Linked DNA regions of Mytilus edulis. The main gene of each other region encodes a partner of the protein of the gene in region 2 in a complex. Links are inferred from orthologs where the notes say so. Each region holds a gene or a part of one and is shown on either strand. Other genes may lie near its edges. The genes, in order: protein fuzzy homolog and WD repeat-containing and planar cell polarity effector protein fritz homolog.

The links.
Region 1: the proteins of WD repeat-containing and planar cell polarity effector protein fritz homolog (region 2) and protein fuzzy homolog are in contact, whole or in part, in a cryo-EM structure (PDB 7Q3D), measured with the Homo sapiens proteins. The link is inferred for Mytilus edulis from reciprocal best matches to the Homo sapiens genes WDPCP and FUZ. Residues at the interface, in NP_056994.3 of Homo sapiens: Arg55, Ile57, Asn75, Lys78, Leu82, Glu418, Asp419, Arg420, Leu421; in NP_079405.2 of Homo sapiens: His293, Glu372, Glu373, Pro374, Arg379, Gln397, Pro399, Thr400, His401, Gly402, Ser405, Leu406.

What each region holds. Positions count from the first base shown.
Region 1 is NC_092350.1:12,397,702-12,401,632, forward strand, and holds the start of protein fuzzy homolog, read left to right. Parts: upstream 1-1,727; 5' UTR 1,728-1,757; coding exon 1,758-1,835; intron 1,836-3,931. UniProt on the Homo sapiens protein: Probable planar cell polarity effector involved in cilium biogenesis. May regulate protein and membrane transport to the cilium.
Region 2 is NC_092346.1:82,339,381-82,343,311, forward strand, and holds the start of WD repeat-containing and planar cell polarity effector protein fritz homolog, read left to right. Parts: upstream 1-822; 5' UTR 823-921; exon of another isoform or gene 922-1,041; intron 1,042-3,931. UniProt on the Homo sapiens protein: Probable effector of the planar cell polarity signaling pathway which regulates the septin cytoskeleton in both ciliogenesis and collective cell movements.

The DNA.
Region 1 (3,931 bases), on a different chromosome or scaffold from region 2:
TATGTCTTGCCCACATCTTTATTATATATACATGTACAACAAAATATATTGTCTCATTTCAAAGACACAGTTTATGCATACTTTACAATGGTATAATTGTATATTTCAAAAGAACTATAATCATGTTGACACTAATCTAACAAATTTAATCAATGTGATCAGCATGGTTTCCAAATTTTTAAAATAGTTGTGAAAAAAAAAGAAGTTTCAAAGTTAAATATATTATCTTTTTCACTTTTTCACTTACCTTTAGAAGTACAAAAACTTTGATGCTGCCTTTTTGATGCGAGCTGTTTCACTTGATGTTCTTTACTATTGACTTCAGTTACTCTTCTTATAACCTAATGAAATAGACAGAGGAATTAATTTAACAATCATATCATTTGAACCAAATTTAAATTGAATTGAATTTTCATTTTTTTTGTTTGAAAAAAAATTATGTTTTGTAGCTTTAAAATTAAATGACATATTTCCTAATCATGCTAATAATGATTTTCATACATTTTATTTACAATAATATAATAAAGCTATAAGATCTATAAAATTAGTTTCTTAAAATTGCTGTATTTTGGATATTTTACAGCCTCCAGTAGAACAGAGAAGATATAGGTTCTAAACGGTGTTTAACAAGGACTTCAGTTGTTTAAAAGTATTTCAAATAGTTCATGTTTATAAACAATAATATAAAACTTGTGTCAGGGATCCCAACTTGTTAATAATCTAAACAAAAATTGTTATATCACTTTTCTTTTAATCTTTTAAAGCTAAATAAATCATTCAATCTAAAAGTCATATAAGTTTGACATTGAGTGCCTTGATGTGACATTAGAAATTGTCAACTGAATATTTCTTTTCAATCTTTTATTAGAATTCTGTATCAAAATTAAATCAATCATGAGAATAACCAATGTGTTTTTAAACGGATGTAATACATTTTATGGTTAAGAATTGGTCCATTTGGAAGTTTTCCATGAATAAATTAAGGAGAATGACTAATGAAGAAACACAAAGAAACATTAAGTCACATCTTTGTCATTCTGAACCAATATCATAGCTAAGCAATACACAAATAACTTTCTGAATGTCTAATTACTTTTGTCAATAAATGGTTATCTTCGTGAAAATTCAATTGACTTTGAAAATACTTTGAACCAAAGTAAGATGAAGTTGTTAAATTAAATTTTGTTGGCACTGCTTTTGTGAAGGACCTATTAATTGAGAGAAAATCGATCGATACTTCGGCTTAAATTTCTTTGTTATTGAACTGAGTAAATATAGTATACACACTGATGACTAATAATAAACGGCGCGTAATTTCTTTGTCTCTCAATAAAAGTATAATATTGTTTATCAACACAAACTGTCATTAATAAAAACTACTGTAATTGCTGTATAAACAAATTACATAATGTGTGAAAACATTTGTAACAGCTTGGGTCAAAAGATTACAAGTCGTGTGGCCAATACAGTGAAAACAATGAGTAACGGCAGATTGGCGTTGCGGGCACGTGCTCCAATAAACAAGCAATAATGAAGATCCTGATCGATAAAATTCCTTTACATTACCAGGGACGAACCTAACATGAAACATGACTTACCTGTCATTAAGTGTGCCTGTTGTCATCAAGTAAAACTTACCATATACTGAACCGAAAATTTGACAGATGCTGTTTACAGCTTCTTCATCGCCATGCTATTTACCCATCATTCTAAAGTTGTGGTAAGTAAGCGCATGCGTATGTTAAACTTACATCGAAATGGCGACCTACATTTTATGTTTGACAACAGGAGGAGGAGTTCCTCTATTTACCCGAATGTCAGCCAGTTTAAAGCCTGTAGGTTATAAAAATACATATAATTTTGAATTATTGACTATGCATTCAGTCAATATAAACTGTAGCGTTAGTGTTTGAGTGTTTTTGCCGGGCTTGTGTCCAGCATAGACACGAGGCCGACGAGGTTGGGCCTTTGCGTTTGATTTCGGTGGTTTCGACTAAAATCAGTTTATATAAAACACAGTTTGTAGAAACAACGTCTCGGAACATTCAACCATCTTCTTAATATTTATTTTTGATGAAAACCGAACACGAATTGATTTTTTGACAAAAAGTTGTGATTTATATTTGAAGTTCCCACTGAAAAAAAAATATGAAAATGTGCTCACATGTGGTGAAAGGGAGCTTACTCTTCTTTCTTCTTTTGTTACAGAAAACCATCAACGTACTGATGTTTACTTTCCGGCGCATGCCTGGTAAATGTTTTTTAATAAATTTATGTTGATAATTTTTCTCAAAATATAAATTAACAAAATATTTCTTATTCAAAGTTGTTTTTGGTCATATATTTTCGTATTTTCAATTTTTACAATTTTTCTTTGTTTTTAATTTATACAATTTTTTTATTTAGTTTTTAAATATTACATTTTTTATTTTTAGTTTTTTGGTATAAGATAAAAACAAGAGTATCTGTTTATTTCAGATGAGGGTAAGTATCAAGGAGCACGTCGTGTGTGAGTGCATCCTTGAAGTTTTCTGTAGTACTGTTTTTGGTAATTTCAGGTGTTAGTTTGTTCCAGTCTTTGATGGTTTGACAGAAGAAAGAAAATTTATAGCTGTCTTTATTGCAATGAATTTGTCTGTAGGATTCTTTATTGGTGGATCTTGTAGTAGACTGACTCTGTTGTAATACATTTTGCGATGGAATGGCTATCTTTTCATTTACAATTTTGTGGAACATTATAAGCCTTGTTCGTAGTCGGCGTTCTTGTAATGTTTGCCATTTCATGGTATCTAGCATCTCAGACACACTGCTGGTGTTGTGATGTCTATTGCACACATACCTTGCTGCCCGTCTTTGTACTTTTTCCAGTGATTTTATATTTTCGTTTGTAAATGGGTCCCATACAGTACAACAGTATTCCAACTTTGGTCTTATGAGTGTTTGGTATGCTCTTTCTTTAATTGTTTGCGATTGGACTTTAAGGTTTCTTCTGATGAAACCTAAGGATTTATTTGCTTTTGCAGCAGTTTGTTGGATGTGGGTGTTCCATTTTAGGTCTGCTGAGATGGTGATGCCTAAGTATTTTGCATGTTTTACAGGTTCTAAGATGTGTCCATACATGTTATAATAAAAGTGGATGGGATTTCTTTTTGTTGTTATATTCATGATGTTACACTTGTCTGGATGGAAAGACATAAGCCAATCTTTTTCCCATTGTATGGCAGCTTCTACATGTAGGTCTTCTTGAAGCTTGAGGCAGTCGTTTTGAGTTTTAATTTGTCGGTAGATTATACTGTCATCTGCAAAGAGTCTGATTTTGCTATGTTGGATGTAATCTGGGAGGTCATTTATGTAAATTAAGAATAGTATCGGTCCTAGCACTGTACCCTGTGGGACTCCTGATGAGACTGGTATTTTTGAAGATGACATGTTTTCTAAAAGTACTGTTTGTGTTCTGTTTGAAAGAAAGGAGTCTACCCAGTTAATGATTTGATCTGATATGCCAAAGTATTTCATTTTGTATAGTAATCTTTTGTGTGGTACCTTGTCGAAAGCTTTAGCAAAATCCATGATAATAAGATCTGTTTGTATGTTCTTGTCGTTGTTTTGGAATAATTCATGTATCAGTGAGATGATTTGTGATTCACATGATCGTTTTGCCCTAAATCCATGTTGTAATTCATATAGAGTGTTGTTTGTTTCTAAGTGGTTCATCATGCTGCTTGCAAAGATATGTTCGAGTAGTTTACAAGCTATGCATGTTAAGGATATAGGCCTATAGTTGCCTGTGTTGTGTTTATCCCCTTTTTTGAATACAGGTGTGACATTTGCGTGGTTCCAGTCAGATGGTACTTTGCCTGTTTGTAGTGATCTTGTAAATATTAAAGTGAGGATATCTGTACATATTTCGATGTTTTGTTTTAGTACTTTG
Region 2 (3,931 bases):
TGGATGAAATCTTCTTGTGGTAAAGATTCATTTTCTTTGTTATTACTTTTTTGATACTTAATTTATTCAAGATGTTCCAAAACATCTTTGGGTCTTTCTCACATGTATAAAGTTCTGAAAATATATCTTTTTTGTATTTATTTTCTTCATATTTACATAGACGTCTAAGTCTAGATCTGAAAGAATAAAATTTATGTCTGTATTCAGAATTATAGGGATGTTTATTAACTAACTTTGCATAATTTTTTACTGTAACGCCAAGTTCACGGCAAGATTCAGAGTACCAAGGTCGTCTTTTTGACCTATTTTGATTTTTATTTCTGACTGGGACTTTCTTTACTAGTTTTGCAGACTTCAAAGCATTTTCATATAGTATATTATTAAATGAATTTACTGCTGATTCAGAGTCTTTAAAAGTTGATTTTATATGTCTCTGGCATTAGTGATAACAAAATTTGAAAAATAAAAATTATTTTCCTTTTCCCGCTCATTCAATTTTGTTTTTAATCTATTTATAAAGAAAAATAATTAAATCCGATACTGTTATAGTAGTCTCAGTGATTAGGTGGTGATATATTATAAGTTATCTACGTTCATATCCGTAGATTTGCAGATGGTTCACTTTTGGAGTATTTTATGCTTAAAAACATTCTGGCAGAAATACTGATATTTTCCAAAATAAGGAAAGCCCTCTACACCCCTGAATATAAGTCCGACAAACGCTATGACTATGTGGAATGAATGACAACAAATCGGACCAATATGTTACAAACAATATAATATGTCTGTAACATTCCGATCGGTCCCGGTTTAAGTTAACTATGTTTTAGCATAATCTCAAGGTTATCTCCCTTGTAGCAAAGGAAAACAAAGTTGAAAGAATTTGAAAGAATGCAAAATTACATTTAGGTTCGACTTATGGTATAATTTTTAAAAATTAAGACAGTCGGATATAAACGGATACAGGACTTATATTTATGCTGTTCATGAACCTATGAAAAATTCATTGACTTTTTTGGATAACATTTTGTCTTTTGATTGGTGAGTCTCAGACCACAGGGGCTTGTTACAATTGCCGGGTTTACTATCCATACGAACCCCTAAAACACAGATTCGACTCTCAAATTCCTCCAAAAAAATCTGGAAGTTATAAAACTCAACGAGGGATAAATGCAAATTTAATTAGCCACATTATTTTTTCCTATGAGAACGATCAAATCCACAATTTTAGTTTTGACACTTCACATTATTGAATGTTGATATATTATTTTTATGGCCCCGCAAAGAAGTTGTCAGTGCCATATAGTTTTACCCTTGACCGTAATTCTGAAATTACGTAATTCTGTCATTACACAACAAACCATTATATACAGAGTTTTTTTCTAAACGCCTTCAGATATTGGGCTGAATTTCGATATGTAAGTTAACCATGATGAGGTACAGATCAAGTTTAAGTTTCGTTCCACTCCACTAATTTTTCAAAAAAAATTACGGGCTTTGGACTTTGATAAGTTGGTGAAAATCACAGTTATACAGAGTTTTTTTTCTAAACGCCTTCAGATATTGAGCTGATTTTTGATACAGAACTGAACAGAACAGAACATATTTTATTTCCAATTTAGGGCCCACAAGGGGCATACAGAGCATACATGAATAAGGAAAAAGAATATTGATTTGCATAGATACATAGATACAAACAATTTTTTACATACAGTTACAATACAATTACTAACTCATATTTATTAATTATCACATGGTGATATGTGAGTTAACCATGATGAGTTACAGATCAAGTGTAAGTTTTGTTCCGCTCTGCTAATTTTTCAAAAAAAATTACAGGCTTTGGACTTTGAAAAAATGTTGAAAATCACAGTTATAGAGACTTTTTTTCTTAATGCTTTCAGATATTGGGATGATTTTTGGCATGTAAGTTAACCAAGATGAGTTACAGATCAAGTTCAAGTTTTGTTTTGCTCGGCTAATTTTTGCCGAAACTACAGGCTATGGACTTTGATAAATTGTTGAAAATCACGGTTATACAAACTTTTTTTCTACATGTTCTAAATGCTTTCAGATATTTGGTACGTGAGTTATCCATGATGAGTTACAGATCAAGTTAAAGTTTCATTCCGCTATGCTAATTTTTGCTGTAAAATTTGTGGCTTTGGACTTTTATATATATTTGAAAATCACAGTTATACAGACCTTTTTAGCGGGACAAGTGAGCTTATGCCATCACTTGGTGTCCGTCGTCGTCCGTCGTCTGTCGTCGTCTGTCGTTGTAAACTATTTCAAGAATCTTCTCCTCTGAAACTACTGGGCCAAATACTTTCAAACTTTAACTGAATGTTCCTTAGGGTATCTTATTTATAAATTGTATCCGAAGTTTTGATCTATCAACAAACATGGTCGCCATTGCTAAAAATAGAACATAGGGGTCAAATGCAGTTTTTGGCTTATAACTCAAAAACCAAAGCATTTAGAGCAAATCTGACAGGGGTAATATTGTTTATCAGGTCAAGATCTATCTGCCCTGAAATTTTCAGATGAATCAGACAACCCGTTGTTGGGTTGCTGCCCCTGAATTGGTAATTTTAAGGAAATTTTGCTGTTTTTGGTTATTATCTTGAATATTATTATAGATAGAGATAAACTGTAAATAGGAATAATGTTCAGCAAAGTAAGATTTACAAATAAGTCAACATGACGGAAATGGTCAGTTGACCCCTTTAGGAGTTATTGCCCTTTATAGTCAATTTTTAACCATTTTTCGTAAATCTTAGTAATCTTTTACAAAAATCTTCTCCTCTGAAACTACTGGGCCAAATACTTCCAAACTTTAACTGAATGTTCCTTAGGGTATCTAGTTTGTAAATTGTATCCGAAGTTGTGATCTATCAACAAACATGGTCGCCATGGCTAAAAATAGAACATAGGGGTCAAATGCAGTTTTTGGCTTATAACTCAAAAACCAAAGCATTTAGAGCAAATCTGACATGGGGTAATATTGTTTATCAGGTCAAGATCTATCTGCCCTGAAATTTTCAGATGAATCAGACAACCTGTTGTTGGGTTACTGCCCCTGAATTGGTAATTTTAAAGAAATTTTGCTGTTTTTGGTTATTATCTTGAATATTATTATAGATAGAGATAAACTGTAACAGCAATAATGTTCAGCAAAGTAAGATTTACAAATAAGTCAACATGACGGAAATGGTCAGTTGACCCCTTTAGGAGTTATTGCCCTTTATAGTCAATTTTTAACCATTTTTGTAAATCTTAGTAATCTTTTACAAAAATCTTCTCCTCTGAAACTACTGGGCCAAATACTTCCAAACTTTAACTGAATGTTCCTTAGGTTATCTAGTTTGTAAATTGTATCCGAAGTTATGATCTATCAACAAACATAGTCGCCATTGCTAAAAATAGAACATAGGGGTCAAATGCAGTTTTTGGCTTATAACTCAAAAACCAAAGCATTTAGAGCAAATCTGACGTGGGTAAAATTGTTTATCAGGTCAAGATCTATCTGCCCTGAAATTTTCAGATGAATCAGACAACCTGTTGTTGGGTTGCTGCCCCTGAATTGATAATTTTAAGGAAATTTTGCTGTTTTTGTTTATTATCTTGAATATAATTATAGATAGAAATAAACTGTAAACAGCAATAATGTTCAGCAAAGTAAGATCTTCAATTAAGTCAATTTGACGGAAATTGTCAATTGACCCCTTAAGGAGTTATTGCCCTTTAAAGACTTTTTTTCACAATTTGTTCATCATGTTGACTTACTTTAAAAAATCTTCTCCTTTGAAACTGCTGTATCAATTTCAGCCAAACTAAGGCTAAATGAGTTTCAGAGTATCTAGTATAAATTTTATATTTTATTTCCTTGTATGTCAAGAAACATAGCTCCTATGGCTAAAATAGAACA